Caenorhabditis elegans: one gene and its partners. The protein of the gene in region 2 purifies or fractionates together with the protein of the main gene of each other region. This does not show direct contact. Each region holds a gene or a part of one and is shown on either strand. Other genes may lie near its edges. The genes, in order: agxt-1, alh-1, gta-1 and tald-1.

Evidence for each region.
Region 1: the proteins of alh-1 (region 2) and agxt-1 fractionate together in Caenorhabditis elegans (co-fractionation; one large-scale study listed by BioGRID). This does not show direct contact.
Region 3: the proteins of alh-1 (region 2) and gta-1 fractionate together in Caenorhabditis elegans (co-fractionation; one large-scale study listed by BioGRID). This does not show direct contact.
Region 4: the proteins of alh-1 (region 2) and tald-1 fractionate together in Caenorhabditis elegans (co-fractionation; one large-scale study listed by BioGRID). This does not show direct contact.

What each region holds. Positions count from the first base shown.
Region 1 is NC_003280.10:8,843,853-8,849,407, reverse strand, and holds agxt-1 (Alanine--glyoxylate aminotransferase), read right to left. Parts: upstream 3,811-5,555; 5' UTR 3,769-3,810; intron 3,179-3,768; 5' UTR 3,086-3,178; coding exon 3,029-3,085; intron 2,348-3,028; coding exon 2,189-2,347; intron 2,123-2,188; coding exon 2,044-2,122; intron 1,997-2,043; coding exon 1,888-1,996; intron 1,845-1,887; coding exon 1,646-1,844; intron 1,462-1,645; coding exon 1,334-1,461; intron 1,284-1,333; coding exon 1,188-1,283; intron 1,143-1,187; coding exon 884-1,142; intron 826-883; coding exon 701-825; intron 651-700; coding exon 644-650; 3' UTR 506-643; downstream 1-505. Other genes in the region: oac-46 (Acyltransferase 3 domain-containing protein), read left to right, coding at 1-187; F46C5.6 (Serine/threonine-protein phosphatase 4 regulatory subunit 4), read left to right, coding at 4,922-4,969, 5,160-5,305, 5,389-5,555.
Region 2 is NC_003281.10:5,075,915-5,081,169, reverse strand, and holds alh-1 (Aldehyde dehydrogenase domain-containing protein), read right to left. Parts: upstream 3,406-5,255; 5' UTR 3,405-3,405; coding exon 3,312-3,404; intron 2,600-3,311; coding exon 2,471-2,599; exon of another isoform or gene 2,424-2,470; coding exon 2,227-2,423; intron 1,886-2,226; coding exon 1,608-1,885; intron 1,562-1,607; coding exon 815-1,561; intron 754-814; coding exon 665-753; 3' UTR 509-664; downstream 1-508. Other genes in the region: Inactive tau-tubulin kinase ttbk-6, read right to left, coding at 5,202-5,255.
Region 3 is NC_003282.8:10,179,025-10,184,455, reverse strand, and holds gta-1 (putative 4-aminobutyrate aminotransferase, mitochondrial), read right to left. Parts: upstream 3,797-5,431; 5' UTR 3,789-3,796; coding exon 3,749-3,788; intron 3,293-3,748; coding exon 3,183-3,292; intron 2,499-3,182; coding exon 2,429-2,498; intron 2,387-2,428; coding exon 2,289-2,386; intron 1,965-2,288; coding exon 1,626-1,964; intron 1,579-1,625; coding exon 916-1,578; intron 831-915; coding exon 699-830; 3' UTR 517-698; downstream 1-516. Other genes in the region: ptrg-1 (Tyrosine-protein phosphatase 4), read left to right, coding at 1-72, 263-396, 447-506; mspn-1 (Mitochondrial sorting homolog), read right to left, coding at 4,515-4,670.
Region 4 is NC_003282.8:4,384,866-4,389,428, reverse strand, and holds tald-1 (Transaldolase), read right to left. Parts: upstream 2,779-4,563; 5' UTR 2,772-2,778; coding exon 2,708-2,771; intron 1,997-2,707; coding exon 1,633-1,996; intron 1,248-1,632; coding exon 874-1,247; intron 822-873; coding exon 664-821; 3' UTR 549-663; downstream 1-548. Other genes in the region: rpl-7A (Large ribosomal subunit protein eL8), read left to right, coding at 1-30, 85-253; F55F10.1 (Midasin), read right to left, coding at 3,178-3,309.

The DNA of each region.
Region 1 (5,555 bases), on a different chromosome or scaffold from region 2:
ACTCTTCATTCATTGTTTTGTTCAACTTCTCATTACATATTTCTTTGCCATAATATGCACAATGGTCAGTGAACTTCCAGCTCTGAATATCGAAAGGTTATTGCTTGCCTCTCCACCAAAAACTACACTCAAACCGAGTCCACCAACAGATTCGGAAATTCAATTAAAGCCTTCCGATAAGGCTTAATTTCTAATTGTTTTAATTTTTGACTCAAAAATTCATTTTCATCAGGCACGGGACATTTGAGGTAAATAGTGGGTGATCATTTCCTTGTCAACCCGAATTCATTACGAGTAGTCTCATTCATTTCTTAAATTGTTTCATTTCATTCCGCCATTCACTTTTTCATTTGTTAGCTCCTCTTTCATTTGCTTTACATTTCTTTTAGATTAGTTGAAATTTTTCTGTTCTTCTTTCTTGATGGTCTTTCAGTAATTGATTATTCCCCCGGTCATCGACTGTTTTTCCTTCGCTTCTTCTATTTTTATCATGTAAATAGAAATTCTTGTTTTTTGTTCATTCAAATTAAAACCCATAAAAACATTAAATAAATTTAAAATGTTCATACAAAACGCATACGAAATTACAATAAATCATAAATTAGCATGAAATCACAAATTGATGGATCTACGACTGATGGATCTACTTGCTGAAAATATAAATAATTTGATAAGGAAACGGATCAATTAAATTTTTGACCTTTTCTCTCCAATTGATTTCGACAAAAGTTCCACAACATTTTCGATTTTTGTCGAATTCGAGTTAATTCCAAACGTTCCGATTCTCCAGATTTTACCAACAGTTGCACCAAGTCCTCCAGCAATCTAAAATTAAAACAAGTTACGGTTTTCAAACTTCAAATTGGTGGATTTTCGAATTTACCTCCGTTCCATTTGTCATCATTTTTCCAGCAACATCTTTCCAGTCAACACCCTCCGGTACTTTCACAGTAGTCAAACATGGCAATCTCAATTTCTCATCCACTACAAATGGTTCCAATCCATGCTTTTTCAGAGTAGCATACAACACTTGAGCATTATCTTTATGTCTTTGGATTGATTCATCAATTCCTTCTTTTGCAATTGCAGAAAGTGCTGCACGAAGAGCATATACAGTGGAGATTGGAGCAGTGTGGTGATATCTGAAATTTTTCAATAAATTTCATCATTTCATAGTTTTTTCCAACCTTTTCAATTCTCCATCACAACCCCAATAGTTGCCCAATTCGATGGCATCAAAGTAGAACGAGGCGACGCGTTGTTTTCGGTTCCGGATTTTTTCCCTAAAAATGAAGAGGAATGCAACTATATGTGTTTTGTTTCTTATTCTTACATGGCTCGATCGGAGAATGAGATAGGCGCAAGTCCTGGTGGAGCGTTGAGAACTTTCTGGGTTGCCGAATAGACACAATCAACTTTCAGATCATCTGCTGCAAATGGAGTTCCACCGAGGGACGCCACCTGAAAATGAAAACTTTGATCATTAAACATCTATTTTCAATTTTGAGACTCGTTCGGCAAATTTCAATTTTACTACATTAAAAAACACCTTAAACTTTTCAGAAACAAAACCGTTAATTTTTGAAACATTGTAAGATTTATAAATAAATGGTGAGGATCGAGAAAGTTAAAAAAAACCACAAACCGTATCAACAAGGAACAGAGCACCATGCTCTCTGCAAGCATCTCCAATTGTTTCCAATGGTTGAGCAACTCCCGTTGAACTATCTCCCTGACAGACAAAAACCAAATTTGGTTTGTAATCAGCAATTGCCTTTCTGATATCCTCAACTGGAACTGCTTGCCCCTGCGGAGCAGTAATCTTCTTAACTTCGATTCCCATTCTATCAATTTTTAATTTGTAACAAGAATATTGATTTTAAAAACCTATTAGCCAAATCAGCAGCTCTTTGTCCCCAAAGTCCAATTTCTACTACAAGGAATTTGTCCCCGGGCTCGAGAAGATTAACCATCGCGCATTCCATTCCAGAATGACCTGAATATTAGATTTGATATTGAGAAAGTTGATATATGCACACTAACCAGTTCCACTGACAGCAAACGTATACTTATTGTCGGTTTTGAAGACATACTGAAGACCCAGACGAACATCTGCCATAATCTGAAATTAAAGCTTTATGAATTAGTTTTCGATTTACTATTTTTCCAACAAAACATAAAAAGATACCTGAACAAATTCTGGATGCAAGTGTCCTAACAAATTGCGAGATTGGGTCTCAGCAATCGAATCAGCCATGTTCGATGGTCCTGGTCCAAAAAGTTGCCGCGGTGGGACAACCATATCTTGCAGAAGAGCTTTTGGTGGAGCACGAGACGACATTGATGACTGGAAAAAAAGTAAAATACATAAATACTCGAAGAACATGGTAATCGATTTGGAAGTGATAATTTGAGAATATAATAACTAAAAGGTCGTTCAACACGTGGTTCTCAAAACAAATGTTATTAAAAACAAAACATTAACGAAAAACTGATCTTAAATTTAACTAAAATGTTTTCCATTTCGCAGTACTGACATGGAACTAATATGAAATGCGCTCTATTTGCATGTAGAATGGAGTAGAGACACAGAGAAACCAATTGGTCAAGAGGAGATTGAACGGTGTGTCCAAATGGTCAAGAATTGGTTTGATGTCTAGGGGAGAAGGGTTGAAGGGTCGAATGCCAAACGGCATACTAGATGGTTAGAAATTTTCCATAAATCAAAGTGGGTTTTTTTTTCACCAAATACTGTAAAAATCAAGTACATGATTTTAGAGTTTGAACTCGAAAGACATAATTTTCATGCTGTTAGATAATTTTTTTTAAGGAAAAAACCTTCAAAAACTTTTTTTAATGAACAATGGCATATAAATATAAAATAATTGCAGTAACTAAAAAGATTGTATCAATGAACAGTTTCATCAATGATAACACATATGTTGATGTATGATGACAATAAACTCTCAGAGGCGGTTCCAATTTGTGTACTCAATAAACCTATTATTTTTGAACCAATTGAACTCACCTTAATTCCAAATCCAAAAATCGAGACTGAAGGTCTTAGAAATCGCGTTGAAATCATATCTTCGAAATTAAATCAATTGAGGAAGAATATTGAGGTAGAGAAGAAAACTTGAGGAGGTTGTCCTGCAGGCGGCAAATATCTCTGTGACTCCTCAAAGTACATTGTTCTTTCATTTTCACTGACTGACTGACTGACTGAGGGGCTATTTTATCACAATGTATAAATGACCAGTCGATGGTATAAATGATAACGAGAAGACACCCAGAGATCGGTCAATTTTTAGAGAAGAGTTCAAAGAAACACTTGAAAGTGCACTGGGGAAAACCTCGTGGTTATTTTATAGTTTATGGAAATTGAGTGGAAAACAACACTTTTTTGCAATTTGGTTTGAGCATAATTTTTATGGATAGTTCATTGGCACATTTCCGTTAATCTAGAAAATAACGTTTCAAGATTTAGGAGATCATCCGAAAAAAACTAGTGGAATTTTTTAAATACACAGTTTAAAAATCAGTTAAAATTTTAATAAAGTGCGAACAATAAGCTATAATGGGAACTAAAGTGGTCTAATCAATGACGTGGAATTAGTCAGATGGCTACAAAAAAACATTAAAACATTTTTCAAAATTGTCTACCAAATAATGAAACTAGAAAATTTAAGGACTACCAACTTATCTTACTCAAAACAATACAAATCGAGAAAGATTACCAACTTCAAGAGAGTTTAATTTGAACTTTACCTCGAACAACGAGCAGATCCAGAGAAGTTTAGACTTCGGAATAAATTTTTTTTCTAGTTTCATTTCCATGAAAATAGCATTTCACGTCTACAGAAATTGATACGATGAATAAATTTAGAAATTAATATTTAAAAGTTCATTGGTTTGTGTTAACTTTGGAAAAATAATAAAGCTTTGAGATATTAACTTCTGAACATTTTCAAATTTAGCTTCTACATCTTATTCCTTGAATTTCGCCTAGCTTCGTCTGAAATCTCCTCACATTTTTCTTTACCCAAATCTATAAATGAGTTTTTCAGCCAATTCACTTGTATGCCTGGAGATACCTTGAGAATTCGGAAAGTACTGATTCGTGAAGAACACTTTCCAGATCACACGAGTTTATTGCACATTTTGAAATGTTTTGAACAATTGCACATTTTATTGATAAAAATAAGAAAACTGCTCAGGTTTTTCGAAATCGAGTTGGATTCAATTACAGGTCAACTCAAATTTGTGATGTCTCGTGATCTTTGAAGCTCTCCGGTTTCAGTGTCTGTTTTTGCTGTGAACACTATCTTTCTCTATCTTTTTTTTCTTCAGCTTCATCCTTTGAGCTTTTTCGTCTTCATTTCTTCATCTCCTCCCTCGCTTTTAACTTCTCACACTGGATCACAAGCGTGCCCTTCGATCCCGATCCTCTTGGCCGAATATCTTTACACACCGACTTGATGTCTGCGTCTCACCAATCATTTTGAATGTTTCGAGAGGATAGAGATAGTTGCTCATCGCCCGGGAGTCACAGCTGCCTCTTCCTGCTTCTCCTCCACCTCCTCTACATTCCAAAGCAAAAAGAGTTTGTATTATTGAAGAATCATGTTGTTTCTGCATCATTCTAGATCACTCGTCATATCTAACCACACTTTCAAACTTTCTTGCCCAACGCAAACCATTTTGAAAATGTGTTTCATTTGTTTGCCGAACAAAAATGCATCTAAAGAGCTGCCCCTACCTCTTGATGGATCATGCGAAAAAAAGGCGGGACGTTCAAACTGTTGACTCTTTTCTTTTTTCGTTTATCTTATCTCTCTCTCGTGTTGCTCTTTGTCTCATCTTATTGTAAATTGATTTTCGAAAAATTTCAGATATTCTAATCACATTTTCCAACATTTCAATGGTCGCTGCCACAGAAATGGATGGAGAATCTATAGTTGATATTAAAGTAAGGCATAATTGTAATGATAAAAAACGAGATTTAGAAATTTAAGTTTTTGATTGTGAAAATGAGTAATGAGTAATGAAATTAGGCATTGGAAAATATACTAAATTTTTGCAGTAGTTGCCTACTTAAAACGGCTTTCACACCAAAATTTCTTCAGAAAAGATTTTATAGAATTCGTTTTGTTTTCCAGCATGATCAAATTGAAGATGACGAGACAGAAGAAAAAGAACCTCCTGTAATGAAGTTGGATTTCGAAAAACTATTCAAAATGGCAGAAGATCCAGATCTTGAGGAATTGCTAAGATCACCATTGGATCAGGCTCTAATCAATTTAGAGTAAGATTTATTAATTAAAAAATCAAAATTGATTTTTCGACATTTTGTAAAAAAGGAAATCGTTCATACCATAAAATTTTCAGAGACGGAACTGAAATTCAAAAGCTCACATCAATTCGCACATTTCCTGACATTCTGGACACCTCCGACGGAGAAAAGTGCCTTCTAAAAATGCTACCAGCAATTCAAAAATGTTTGAAAATTGAAAAATCAAACCTAGACCTTCACTGTGAAGCTGCAGTTGTCTATA
Region 2 (5,255 bases):
CATGCTGTCTAATTTGCCTATTATCTCCGTTAGAAATGCTTCAAATTTTCTGAAACTTTGTTACCTGTTAAAACATGACATGTAGAACGAACACATAAAAAATTATTAATATCGATTCATTGGCTAAAAAGTTATTGACGGAAATAAGTATCAAGTTTTGGTTCGATTCTTGCCCTTTTTGAGTTGCTTGACGGAGAATTGCGGAACCCACGAGATGTCTGCCGCCTTGCAGGTGGCCACTATATAAGCAACAACTGGTCCTGGCTGTCTCGTTCTTCCGAGAACATATACTAAAATTGGAACAATACAGAGAAGATTAGCATGGCCCCTGCGCAAGGATGACACGCAAATTCGTGAAGCGTTCCAAATTTTTTTTAAAATTTCGCGTAACCTACCGGAAGCTCGTAAAATTTTTGCCTTTTGAAGATTTTACGACTGATCCTCTAATGTACAGAGTAATAATTCGTTTGTCCTGAATCAATCAATTCACAAAGAAGTCGAGACTTTTATGAGTCGTCCTGTAGGTGTCTATTTCTTTCAGAATTCTTTTTCAATATATGTGAAAAATAGATAAATACAACACGTATATTAAGAGCAATAAACATTTTTCAAAAAAAAAAGCAAAAGGAACAAAAATTACAGGGAAAGCGAAAATTCAAGAAATTTATGAGTTCTTCTGTGGAACCTTGATGGTGACAGTCTTTACTTCAGTGTATGCCTCAAGACCATATTCTCCGAGTTCGCGACCGATTCCTAAAAGAAAAAGTATTTTTTAACTTTGGCATGGAGAAATTTTAATAATAAATTAGCTTACCGGACTGCTTGAATCCTCCGAATGGAGCAGCAGCATCGAACACATCGTAACAATTAACCCAGACAGATCCAGCTCTGGTTGCGTTGGCAATATGAAGTGCCTTATCAATATCCTTAGTCATAACTCCAGCAGCCAATCCATAAATAGTGTTATTAGCCTTTTCAACTAATTCTTCCATTGTGTCGAATCTAATGATAGTCATAACAGGTCCAAAGATTTCTTCTTGAGCAATAGTCATCTGATCCTTAACATTAGCGAAGATAGTTGGCTTCACAAAGTGTCCTTGATCTCCGTGTTTGGCTCCTCCAGTCACCAATTGAGCTCCATCCTTCTTTCCAGCAGCGATATATTTTAAAATAGTCTCAACCTGCTTTCCGTCAACTTGTGGTCCTTGAGTAGTTTTCAAATCAAATGGATCTCCGATAACAGCCTTCTCGGCCAATTCCTTGGAACGAGCTACGAAATCATCATAGATCTTTCCTTCGACAAATGTTCTGGATCCGGCACAACAGCACTGTCCTTGATTGAAGAAGAGTCCGTGGTTGGCTTGATGAACGGAATCATTGAGATCAGCGTCAGCGAAAATGATGTTTGGTGATTTTCCTCCGAGTTCCAAAGTGACCTTCTTGACATTCGATTCTGCAGCAGCCTTCATAACAAGTCTTCCAACTTCAGTTGATCCAGTAAAAGCGACTTTGTCAACATCCATGTGCGACGAAATAGCTTGTCCGGCAGTATGTCCGTATCCTGGAATTTATTTATTTGAGAAACTCACAATTTTTACAAAACTGACCTGGAATGATATTAACCACTCCATCTGGGAATCCAGCTTCTTTTGTGAGAGCAGCCACGTGAAGGGCTGAAAGTGGAGTCTGTTCGGCGACCTTCATAACGACTGTGTTTCCCATAGCCAACGCTGGTCCAAGTTTCCAAGCTTGCATAAGAAGTGGGAAGTTCCATGGAATAATCTGTCCGCAGACTCCCACCGGTTCGTGACGAGTGTAAGTGAAGTAGTCACCCTCGATTGGAATAGTCTTTCCGTGATTCTTGTCAGCCCATCCGGCGTAATAACTGTAATAAAGTTATTTTTTAATGTTAGCCATTTTTCCTTTTTTTACAATAAATTTTAATTTTTCTCATCAATACAAACAAAATTTGATTCAAAAAATTGCATTTTTTGGCTGTTAATTTTCTAAACAGTTTTTTTTGATTTACGGTTGTCCGGACAATCAAAAATTTTTGTTTTTCGATTTTTTTCTCTCATAAAATTGAGAATTCGAAATTATTTTTGTAGATCTCTTTGCTCATTTGGCAGTAAAGTTTTTCGTTTTTTCTGAGTTTTCTTCTTAATTACAGACTATTTTGGGATTTTTTTACAGCAAAATTCTCCAATTTATGCTATTCGAACTCACCGAAGAGTCTTGATAGAAAGTGGCAGATCAGCATTGTAAGCAACTGCATATGGCTTTCCATTATCCAAAGATTCCAAAGATGCCAAAATAACTCGATCTCTCTCCATTAAATCAGCTAGTCTATTCAGAAGAACTCCACGTTGAGAAGCATCCATTCGTCTCCACTCACTGCCGATACGGAATGCATTTTGAGCAGCCTAGAAAAGTTTGAAGATTGCTTTAAAATTCGAATTTAGATTTAAACCTTGACAGCGATATTGACATCTGTTTTATCTCCTTCTGCGACTTGAGCCAAAACTTTTCCGTTGGCTGGATTGATAGTCTCAAAAGTCTTTCCAGACTTGGCTGGCACAAATTCATTGTTGATGAAGATCTGGAAATTTAGATATAAACTTTTTTGAAATTTGAATCCCTGATTTGGAGAAGTATCACATTTCGTCCTAATTCTGCCCTCTAAGTTTATTTTCTCAAATCCGATCATCGTTCAGTTTTGATTGCCCTATCTCACTGTTGACCGAGTTCATTGTTCATTTCGTTCTCCACCTCAGGCGACCACGTTTTCCCTATGAGATAGTATCAGCTCTCTTCTTTTTCTTTTTATTATCATCATTTTAAATTGATCGTACTCTGTGTACTAGGTACACAACAGAGCACAACGTTGAGGGCACGTGGTTCCGTTGAAATAATGTAATGAAAACATGAGAAGAGAACATTTTTGCAGCAGAAAAACAGATCAAAAGGTTCAAATTCATCTTTTTGGTTTCTGTTGCAGTTTCTGATAACGGCGGTTTCAAAGCGCACGTAATGTGATGTTCTTGTAACTTTGAATTTCGCGGAAAATACGGATTTTTGAGAAAAACCAATAAGATTCGATGCACAATTTCCACTTTTGTTTTCTTTTTCTTTAAACACAAATTACTTGAAAATCAACGTTTTTAGAAATTGGCGATCCAATGGGCTCCGTAATTTTTTCTTTCAAAATTCAAATTAGAGTCTCTCTCAACATTGTCTCCATTTTCAAGGTTATCCTGTGTGATTCCTATCTTTTTTGCAATTTTTTTAAAACAACGTTCTGAGAAACTTACGCCGGTGTATTGTGGTTTCATGTTGGAAAGACCTGGTGGAACACCGGAGGCATTTCGTGCCTGAACTGTTGCCCGGAGAGCTGAACGGAGCATTCTGAAAATAAAAATTATAAAGGATTTACCCGAATAAGGCAAGATTTTAAAGAAATTAGAAAGAGGACGCAAAATAAAAATTTACAGGTGAATGAGGTTAGATATTGTGAGTTCACAGCAGCTCGTTTCTTCATAGAACATTTTAAATTTTAATTAAATAGAAAATAAACTAGTTCCAGTGGTAATTCGGAAACATCGAATCAGTATATCTAAAAACTGTGGCAAAAAGTGAATATCAGTATTGCAGAGACTTCTGACAAAATTATTCAAAATCGATTAACTAATCTTCTTCCAAAAATTCAACTCTAAACAAAATAGAGAAAACTAAAGATTAGATATGAAAAGAATGGACAAACACGCCAGCCTCGATGGTTAGGGTCGAAATAGATAAGAGAACACTGAGCGATGGTTGAAAAGTGACAGAGGAGGAGTCAAAAAGGCGGAGATGCAGAGAACTGCACACACAAATATACTTCAACGAAACATCTTCGAAAACAAAAAGATGAAGAAGCACGTGCTCGAATAGAACCAGCACAAAATAATGAGAATTTTTTGGAGTCCTGAAGAATAGTCAAGTATTGCACAACATGATTTAACCCTTGACCATTTAATATTTCCATGTCGAGATGGGATCTTTGGAAATGATGATAAATGAAAAACTTTGGAAAGATTGAACGACAGAGACAGGAATAGTTTCAGCAGAAATCAACTACAAAATTAAGAATTATCAAATATAAACAGAGTGGTTAACAACAAGATTCATCGTTAGTCCTGCCTAAAACCAGCAGAAAATAAACAAACGTGCAAGCATTTCAGCTGAGATTTGTTTTTATTGACAGATATAACTTAATTCTGAGAGGAAACGCGATCTTAATTCAAACGGAAGATAAACATTCAGGAAAATATTCTCAAACTGCGAGAAAATCCGAAAAAAAGAGCTAAAAATGTTTTTAAAATAGAAAGAAACTTCGAAACTGGCGCGGTGCCCTTGCTCAACAGAGCGCGCTTGGTGGCGAGACACTACGAACCTTTAGAAACTCTACTCCAGAGAAAGCAGTTACAAAGTCAACACTTGGCTTAATGAAGTAACAAGAAAAAAAGGACGAATGTAACGAAAATCTGAAGTTTTTTTTATCATATCAATTAGGCTTCGGGCTTCAAGAAAAAAATCGTCAGCCGTGGGAATCTTTTGAGAAAATGAAAGCATTCAAGTTTCTCTGCACATGTTTGAAAAATGTCATACAGTTGAATAAAAAAGCATTTCAGCATTTCACAAGCATGAGAAGCACGGGTCGCTTGAAGATTATTGTTTGAAAGTAATGATAATATGTCATAGGTCACAATTTGTATAGGCCACAATATGTCTTAGGTCATAATGGAACATGATTCATAAATGTTAAATAACAGTTGAAAAGAAAGGACTGTAGGATAGAATATTAAATTTTGTTTTCCATAAGAGACTATTGGAGCTGTAAACAAAATTAATGTTAAACTTTAACCAACAATTTCGAAGGTTCATGTTGTCAACAATGAAACCAGATGAATCTTGAAGTGAACAAATGTGTTAATTCTTCCAGTTAAACTTAGAATCCGAAAGATCTATGTTCGTTTTTTTTTTTGAAATCTGCCAAAAGATATTGGACGCCAGAACTTCATTAGCTCTAAGATGATGAACTATTAGGAGGAGCCAACTGTAGTTGAGGATTCATAGTTTTTGTTAATTTAGCAAAACAAAATCATTTTCTAGTCCTTTATTCAAATCTCATATATCTCTAGTTTTCAAGCTTCTTCCCACTTTTAAAGAACAAAATCCACTTCGGCTGGAGTAGGTGGGCCGTTGATTTCAAGAGG
Region 3 (5,431 bases), on a different chromosome or scaffold from region 2:
ATAAATACCCACCAAGTGTTCCATCACCAACAGATAGTACTTCTACATTATCACTTTCTATTTTGTTTAATGGTGAGTATAGCTTGATATCTATCAATATTTTTGGTTCAAAAAAATTTTGTAACACAAATTTGGAGTTTATAAAAACCCCTTTGGTTCTAGTTTAAAAATGGTAGTGTGCGTAGAAACGTACATACTATGATCTGTAAATACTTTAAACTTTAATTATATTATATTTATAACAAAATTGATGAATATTCAGATGATACAGCACTTGCATTCAGTATTTGTGCAGCCACAACTTTAGCGTGTCAACTGGAGACAACGGGTTGTGTTGACGTGGTACAGGTTCTTTCATCGTATACCGAAATTCAGTGTGGTATTTTTGCCTCGAAGGTGAAAATCGAATTATCTCATTTTCCAATACCAAATTATTTTGTTTTCAGCAAGAAATCGAGATAATCTATGAAAAGATGTCACAGCTAGTCGGAGGAACACGTGTCTAAAAATTTATAAATTCAATTGGAATCGATCCGAAGTATAACTTCCCGAGAAGAAACAATAAAAAATCAATTTCCGGTGTCATTATAAATGAATATTTAATTTATTAATTATATTTTGAAATAATAACAAGCTAGATGGTCAGCGAAGCAAATAAAATGGATACAGCTTTAAAGAGAAAACAAAAGAAAAAATGATTACAATCCCTTCAAAGTCTTGTCGAGAAGATCGAAAGTCAGATCCAAATGTTTTTTGGTGTAGACGAGTGATGGACGGAAACGAAGTGAACGGTCTCCACATCCTCCACAGTGAAGTCCGTTGCTGATGGCCTAAAATTAAATTGAAGTTTAAGAAATTTAATATATAAATGTAAGATGGCTGAATTTGACATTTATCACTATTAATTCTGCTTACCAAGTCAACAAATTTGTCTCTCAAAGATCCAGATGGGAAGTCAACGGCGGCAAAAGTTCCTCTTCCTCTGGCTTGATCCAACTTTCCTCCAGACGATGCTTGAAGTTCTCCAAGTCTCTTTTGGAATTCAGCTCCAACTTCTCTGCTCTGCTCAATCAATCCATCTCTCTTAATAACCTCAACAGCCTTTTCCAAAAGAAGAAGCTTGGTCGGATCTCCCATCCATGTGTTGTAAATACGGTAAGCCTCCTTAACTCGGAGATGTTCTCCGTAGAAGTATCCTCCTGTCAAAAGTTTCTTTGAGAATGTGACCATATCTGGTGGAGAGCTCAAGTTCCAGTGATCATGAGCCCAGATATCTCCAGTTGCTCCACCTCCAGTTTGAACTTCATCAACAATGAATACAATTCCATGTTTAGAAGTAATATCACGGAGGCCTTGGAAGAATGCTGGACTTCCATAATGATCTCCACCTTCTGCTTGAATTGGTTCAACAATAATTGCAGCTACATCATTATCACGACGTTTCCATTCGGAAATCTTCGCTTCAACGTCAGCAAGACACTCCTGATCTTGCTTCTTATTGTATGCAACATTCTGGTCAAGTGGATACTTATAACGGGGGAACTTGGCAATTGGCCAGTCAAATGCTGGAATATCAACCTGAAAATAATTAATTAGAATTGTTTCGAAATAAAACTTTGAAATACCTTATGAATTGGCTTACTTCTGGTAACCGACAACATGCACAAAGATCTTCCATGGAAAGCTCCTTCAAATCCCATAACTGAAAGATTTGGAGTTCCTGGTTTCTGTTGATTCATGCAGCTTTCCAAATGAAGAGCATCTGGTCCAAGACCTCCTCTTCTCTGAGCTTGATACCAGATAAATGCAGTTTTGATTGCATTCTCGTTGGCCGATGTACCGCAAAGCATTGTTTGAACTGCCTTCAATCCTTTTGGAGCAATTGATGTAAGAGCATGAGAAATTCCATCAGCAAAGTCGGTACGTGGGAAGGATCCAAGAGCTGGACGAGAAACAAGAGATGTCTGAAAATTTATTTTCTAATACATTTCTCAACTTTTCAGTAAGTATCTTGTTTTCTTTAGTTTTATCCAAATATTACAGACAGGCAAATCACTTAATATTTAATTTTTTACTGGTTTCTAGGTGTACGGTTAATGTGAAAATATGGTCATTATGTGCCTTCCTCCTGCCTGCCTGACTGCCTACCGCCTAATTTCTGTATTTGTGCCTGAATGCGGATGCGGCGTAAAACATTTTCATGCGTACATGGAAGGCTAAGTTCGAATGCTCCAATTGATTGTAAGAGGTTCAAAAATTGATTTTGAAATCAATTTATAAAAACTCACAATCAAATGTGGCTGCGAAGCGACCTTAACCAAATCTGGATGATTGTATCCCAAAGGAAGAGATGATATTTGAGTATAGACATCGAGAAGTGCATTTCCTAAATTAAATCCTGGTGTGTAAACTGAAAATAAAAACTAACCATCAGCATCTACAACGTAATTTCCGAATGATTTCTCGTAGTCGACATGGAAACGAACGGATGTAGTTTGCTGAAAAAAAATTTTTTTAATTTTTATAAAATTTTGAAATCTCATATTGCATTTGGAATGATTCATATGTTTCATAACTACAGTATTTTTGACAATATGTATAAAATTTAAATTTCCTTGAAATATTATTTTATTTTTTGTATTATCAATGAAATTGAAGATTTGAAATTAAAAAAACTAAAATCAAATAATCAAAACTCCTGAATGTCAGTTGTCAGTTGACCAGAGAAAGTGTAATATTTCTGAGACGAATTTCATTCGTTCTGTGATAAGGGTAAGAATGTGATGTTCATGTAATTACGGAGTTGAGATGTTGGTTTTTGATTTGAAAATTGAACTGAATGGCTCGAAATTCTTCGCAATTGTGTGACCATTAAATAGCTAATAATGTTTTGTAATCTAAAATTATAATTTATCTATCTTATAATTCTTAATAATTTAGAATCAAATTGACAATGTTGAGCTTCTGTTGAGCAAGTTGTCAGAAAGTTCAGCCAAAGTTTTTGTTTGAAAAGTAATTTCAAGCGATTTCGCCACTGAATAATTGTCAAAAACTAAAACCAATACATAATGAGCGTATAAGATTTAGAATAGATATAAAAAATAAGTTATCACAATTTGAAGGTATTTTAAGGTCCATGATGTTTAAAAAAACCATTTAACTTTCGATATCTCAATTCTTACATGAACTTTATCCATTTCCTGTTTCAACGCCTTTGACTTTGGTCCAGGAATGCTCGTTGAAATACTAGGTCCAGATGGCTCGGCATTTGCAATCGCCGAAACTCCACGCACTAAAATAAACGTTTCAATTGAGTCAGAGCATTTTTTGGAAACATTCTCATGGTGTTGAAGTGTTTTAGTATTTTTTTAAAATTTCAGAAAATTTTGTTTTTTTAATCTTCCAAATTGAAACATGTGGTGAATATCAAAATACCTGCCAATTTACCAAAACTTCGATTTTATCGTTCAGTTTTTCTGATCTTTTCCCTATTCGGTTTTACTCGAGAAAAATCAATTGCCTTCGTTAATGTTTGTGATACTGATAAACTGATAAGAGAATCAAAAAAGTGTTGTTTGTTTCTTTTTCAATGTGTTTTAGGTCAAAGATGCAAGTAAAAAGGGTTGAAAATGAATGTATCTAGAAGAACTAAAAAGCTGCAGGTTAGGTTTTTCAAAATCAAAAATTATATGTTAAATTATTTCCTAAATAAATCCCAGTTGAATCCAAAATATATTAATTGGTTTACCCTGTTGGATTAAAGATGACTTTGCCAGTCTGGGAAGCATTCTTCCTTCTGAAAAAAACTATTCAAATTATTCGAAAATCGATTTGAAAAAAACAAAGAGAAAGAAGAGTAAAATTTGAAGTGGCAGGAGAAAACCGAATAATTTTTTCTCCCGTTTTCTCTTTTTAGGCGTCAAACGAGACGCAGAGAAAGGCAGGGGGAGGAGCTTATGTTTTTTAGTGAAGGAAATAAATGCGTTTTCTAGTGAAAATTGTTTGAAGAAGTAAACTGAAAAATTGGAAGCCAATGGAAGACGTTTATATTGAGCCTGTGAATGGTGTAAACTTGCTCCACGTTGTGCAAAGAAAAAGGCTCGCAGAGCACGAAGGGTGTAATCGGAAGGACAACTGACACAAAGAGATGGGGTCACGTGATCGATTTATTGTTTCTTCAGATTCTGGAGATATCGACAAGTGAAAGAAAAGAGAAAAAGAGAATACAATCTAACCGGTAATCTAAACGTACTTATTAAATCAATGCAATACATAAGAATAGGGAAGTAAAAAATCAGGAATCAGAAATATTAGTTTTTGAATCTGTTCTAGAAGCTCCGGGGAATAAAAAAAAAGATTTTCGATTTTAAGTCAAAGCACCGTTACATTTCTTTAGCTTTATACTACAAAAAGGTATAATAAATTGAGACCTACAAGAACGAATGGACTACTTTTAGAGAAAAAGAAATAGAAGTTTACATGAAATAAAACATTCGTTTCTTGAACTTTTAAGACTAATCAAGTGTTTCTTCAACAAGTAAATGTGCGGCTCTCATATATTTATGCACTGCTGACTCAAAATCGGACTGTTCCAATGGAAGAAGTTGATTTACGGAACCTCCAGAAGCTACAGTAGCTTTTGCTCGAGCGAGAAGAGCAAGACGACAAACCTGAAAAATTACATAACAACACGATTATTGGCGTTTCATTTTCCTGTAACATAAAAACTTAAAATTTTCGAACGCGTATTATTTTTTAAGCTAATTATTGTGTATCTAACTTCTAAATATTTTTAGATGATTTTGGAAGAAGTTGAAATAATTTAAATGAGTTTTTTTAAAATTAAATTCAAAATTGTAAGTTTTTTCAAGCTCACTATTAGAACAACTTGTATTAAATATATACAATTCTCTTCACTAATGTTTTTATTTGTATTTTTTTTTCCTTTAAGGTTACTGTAGACAATTATATTACATTTTATCATATTACAAATTACATTTTTCCTTTAAAATCCAATGCATTTTTCACATTAGAAACATGAATTAATTGTGAAACAGCAATTTATTCTCATGAAGCTCGCAAAACTTTGCGATTTCTGCCCCAAATATTCTCGACACGAAATTTTATGTTAACTATGAAAAGGTGTGTACCTTTAAAGAGTACTGTAATTTCAAACTCTCGTTGTTGCAAAAGTTTAATCGAGTTTTCGTAGTTTTCAATAAAAACACATATACTTATTTGCTGTTTCACTATTAATTCATGTTAAAAATGTATTGGATTTTATAGGAAATCCAAGATATATTATTGTCTACAATTTTTCATGTTGAACAGATTTATATTAAATATTTCGTTACCGAATTCCACTAGAATATATGTGACATATATAGCCACAAAGCGAACTAATAATATTACGACCATTTCGGGGATGTAA
Region 4 (4,563 bases), on a different chromosome or scaffold from region 2:
CGCCGCTGTTGCTCTCGTCGATGTCAACCCGTAAGTTTCAGATTCTATAGTTTCTTGAGCAAATAATTATTTCTTTGTATTCAGAGAGGACAAATCTGCCTTGAACAAGCTCGTCGAGACCGTCAACAACAACTTCAGCGAGCGTCACGAGGAGATCCGCAAGCACTGGGGAGGAGGTGTCATGTCCGCCAAGTCTGATGCCAAGAAGCTCAAGATCGAGCGCGCTCGTGCCCGTGATCTTGGAAAGCTCTAAATTGTTTTTGTTGATAATAAAAACTTGTTATTCAAAGCTTGTATCTTTTTCAATAATTGGTAGTCTTCGTGGTACTCATTTGGATCGGTCTTGTTGGATATTGTTGAGAACAGTTTTCCCGAGAAGTGTCTCCCTAGTTCGTCGTTGTCTTGGAGCTTGCTGGTTGTCTGCGATATGGTTTCACTGAACAATTCTAGTTGGGTTCAATTCCGGGTGTCACAGCCACAACTGTCCAGAAACTTGCAGAGTGCGATAAGAGTTCGGCTATTTTGTGTATCTTGCCTTTACAGTGCTCTTTAAATTACATAAGGGTTCATTAAAATACGTAACGAAATATTTAAGGGGAAATCACAACACTGATGAAATTGGGGAAAACTAGTAAGCACGACAAATACATCAATCAATACAATTTAGATCTTTGCCTCGATAAGCTTCTCCAGAGTTCTGGCGTCTTTGGCAAAGTTGCGGATTCCTTCGGCGAGCTTCTCGGTGGCCATGGCGTCCTCGTTGAGAGCCCATCTGAACGCCTTCTCGTCAATGCTCACTTTCGGCAGGTCGAGTGTCTTGGCTGGAAAATAATTAAAAATTGCAATTTTTAATTGATTAAATCTCCCGCTCACCATGAGAAGTGGAGAGCACAACTGGAGCAAGTTCCGTCTCCGCAGCAAGTTGCTTCAGAAGAGCCGGAGAAATAGTAAGAAGATCACATCCAACAAGTCCCTTGATCTCTTCAGTATTACGGAACGAGGCAGCCATCACTTGTGTCTTATAGTCGTATTTCTTGTAATAATTAAAGATTCGAGTAACACTGACAACTCCTGGATCGTCTTTTCGAGTGTAGGCCTTCTGATCGGTATTCTTCACGAACCAATCCATGATTCTTCCGACGAATGGCGAGATTAGGGTGACTCCTGACTCGGCACACGCGACTGCTTGCTCAAAGTTGAAGAGCAGTGTCATGTTGCAGTGGATTCCGTGCTTAGATTCGAGGAATCTGAAAATTTAATTTTTTGCTGATTTTGAACTATTTCCGTTATAATTAATGCCTTAAACTCTTTTGAAAAATGTCAATTTGGGTCCAATTGAGTAGATTTTCAGTAGAAAACTAATAGAAACGAGACTTTGTATGTTTCGAAAAGGTATGTCCGTAGATTTTAGGTGATTTACAAGAAAAATCGAAGCATTTCTAGTTTTTAATTTAAAATGTGTTAATTTTTAACAATTTCATCTTGTATAATTCGTTTTTTAATTGATTTTTTCGAAACTAGTAGTGTTTTAAACCAAGCAAATCATCAAAAATGGGTAAAATTTCATCAAGTTTGATTTTTAAAAAAAAGTTTTTTAACTGAAAAGTTTTCCTAAAATCTCCAATGCCGTACTTAGCAGCCCGAATTCCTTCCCAAGTTGAAGCAAGTTTGATAAGAATCCGATCCTTCGAGATTCCTTCCTTCTCGTATTGAGCAATAAGTCCAAGAGCCCGATCAATCGATGCTTGAGTATCAAATGAAAGACGAGCATCAACTTCTGTGGAAACTCTTCCTGGAATAGTTTTCAGGATTTCTTTTCCAAAAACTACAAAAAGTCGATCCATAGCCGCTTGGAGCACTTCTTGATGTCCACTGGCGTGCTCTTTTGCGTAGGCAACTGATTGATCGATTAATGCTGCGTATTGCTCCATTTTTGAGGCGGCCAGGATGAGCGATGGGTTGGTAGTTGCATCTGTTGGCTGGAATTCCTTGATCGCTGAAAAAAATCGATTTTTTGAGAACAATTTTTGAAAAAAGTACTTTTTTCAACTGGAAAATTCGAGTTTTATTTTTCGATTTTTGACTTTTTACACAAAATCGAGGAAAAAAACAAAGGTGTGCGCCTTTAAGACTTACAGTAACCCATTTCCTGATTTTTTAAATTAATTTTTCACGCTTTTCATCTAAATTCTTGAGAGAAAACGTTGAAAAATGAAAAAAAAAACGAAATTGAAGGAACGTCTGGGTACTGTACTTTTGAAAGGCGCAAACACATTTTTTTCAAAATAAATATTTTTCACCAGTATTTACAAAAATTTAGAAAAAAGAGAATTCATCGAATTATCCAAAAAAAGTTTTTCACAGCTTTTTTTGGAATTTTTGAAAAATTCTAATTTTTAAATGGCACATTCCAGAAATTTACAATACTTCCATAAAATTTAATAGTATTTATTTTTAAAATGTTTTAACGAATTTTTTGGAAACTTCTTGAAAATATGTATTTTTTTCTCTAAAAAAATTAATTTAAAAAGTTCAAAAAGTCAGATTTCTATCTGAAAATCGAGAAATTTACTGTTTTTTACATTATAACAGTGGTCTTCCTAGAAAAATCGAATTTTCAGATAATTTAATTTTTTTTCAAAACTGCCAAAAAAAATCAATTATTCACCACATTTTCGAACTTTTTCTTAATGTTCAAAATTTTTACCATTAAAATCTCCAGTATCCGCAACAACGACTGATGCTCCTTTGAGTTGTTCCAAAACCGACATGATTTCCCTAGAAAAAGTCAAAAAAAAATCAATAATCGTGAAAATTACGGGAAAAATCGCGTGAGAGAGATCGAATGGAAAGTGCAGCCCATTGATAGCATCAAAGATAACAAAAACCGTATCAAAAAAATTTCAAATTTTTAATAGATATAATGATAATGATAATTCGACTAACCAATGTGAAAACAATGAACAATGAACAAAAAATAACAAAAAAGGGGGAAAATTTCAAAAAAAAAGTAACAACTCATAAAAAAATGACGATAAAAGGAGTAGGGAAGTGAGAAAAACAGTTTTCGAAAAAAAGTAACAAAAATGATGATAAAAAGGTATAAAGTAAAGTAGTAACAAAAAAACAAGAATATGACTAAATGTGTGTAGTTTGCAGTCTGTAGTTTGTAGCCTCTCAACTATGATGTGTCGTCGTCATTTCGAACCATTGACGAATCGATTCGGCAATCACCGATGGTAGTTGTTGAACTGATTTGACGAGAGCGTAGAATGGGAACGGGAACAGGGCGAGGTATGGCGTGAGTACCTGCAGGAAAAATTGGAAATTGTCAGCAGTTTTATGGGGGCAAATGGCAAGAGAATCGGGGGGTTTTCGAGAAAAAAAAGAAAGTAAATATTGTTCTTTGTAGTCAAATATGATCAAATTTCACACATTTTTTTGGGAATTTTAACACGAAAAAAAGGAAAAATCTTCAAAAATTGGAAAATTTATTGAGTTTTGAAATTTATTTGCGAAATTCCTTTCGAATATTTTGACCTAGTTTCAATTTTTTGTTTCATTTTTTAAATATTATTTTAAACACAATTTCTCACATTTTCAGACAGTTTTCCGCAAAAAATTATTTAAAAATGTGAAATTATCGATTTTTAGGTCAAAATTGAAGCGAAAATCGTCAAAATGCCAAAAAAGTCTACTGAAATTTAAATTTCAGACCTAAAAATATACAAATAATCGGCCATAGAAGACTGAAATAACGAAAAAAAAACTTTTGTAATTTTAAAAGCAAATTTTTGCTGAAAATCCTATAATTACCGTAACCTCGGCGTTTGTTCAATATCGAGAATGGAAAATTACCAGTTTTTAAAAAATTAAAATTAAAAAAAACGTTTTTTGTAGTCAAATATGATCAAATTTCACACATTTTTTGGGTATTTTAAATGAGCGGCAATTCTAGAAAATGGTCTGTTGCACCATGTTGTTCCAACATTTTTACAACTTGAAATTAGTTTAAAAATATGAAAAATCACTCGATTTATTTGAAAATAACATTAATTTCAGCTGAAGCCTTCGAGAAAATGCCCAGAAATGGCTTGAAAGTTGACTAATTTCGGCAATTGTCAACTTTCTGGCCTTTTTTGAGCAATTTCTCAAATTTTCAGTCGAATAAATGTCATTTTCAGATAAATCAACTAATTTTCTATACTTTGACACTAATTTTGGAGGAAAATGTTGAAAATGCATGGTGCTACGTCACCTCGAAAACAATTTTTTTTTCAGAGTGTAACTTCAAATAAAATGGAAAATGTATATTTTTTTAATTGGATTTTTCTTTAAAAAATACCCATAATAATCTAAAACTGGGATATTTTTGAAAAAAAACATATTTCCAGTCAAAAATAGCAGATTTCAACTGAAATCGTCTGATTTTGAAATTTTAAACATGCCAATTACAAGTTTTGGGTGAAAATGTTGATTTTTTAAACCAAAATTGGCAAATTTTCACTAAATTGCCCCGATTTCTAGCTAAAAAAATCCTGGAATGTTGAAAATGTGATTTTT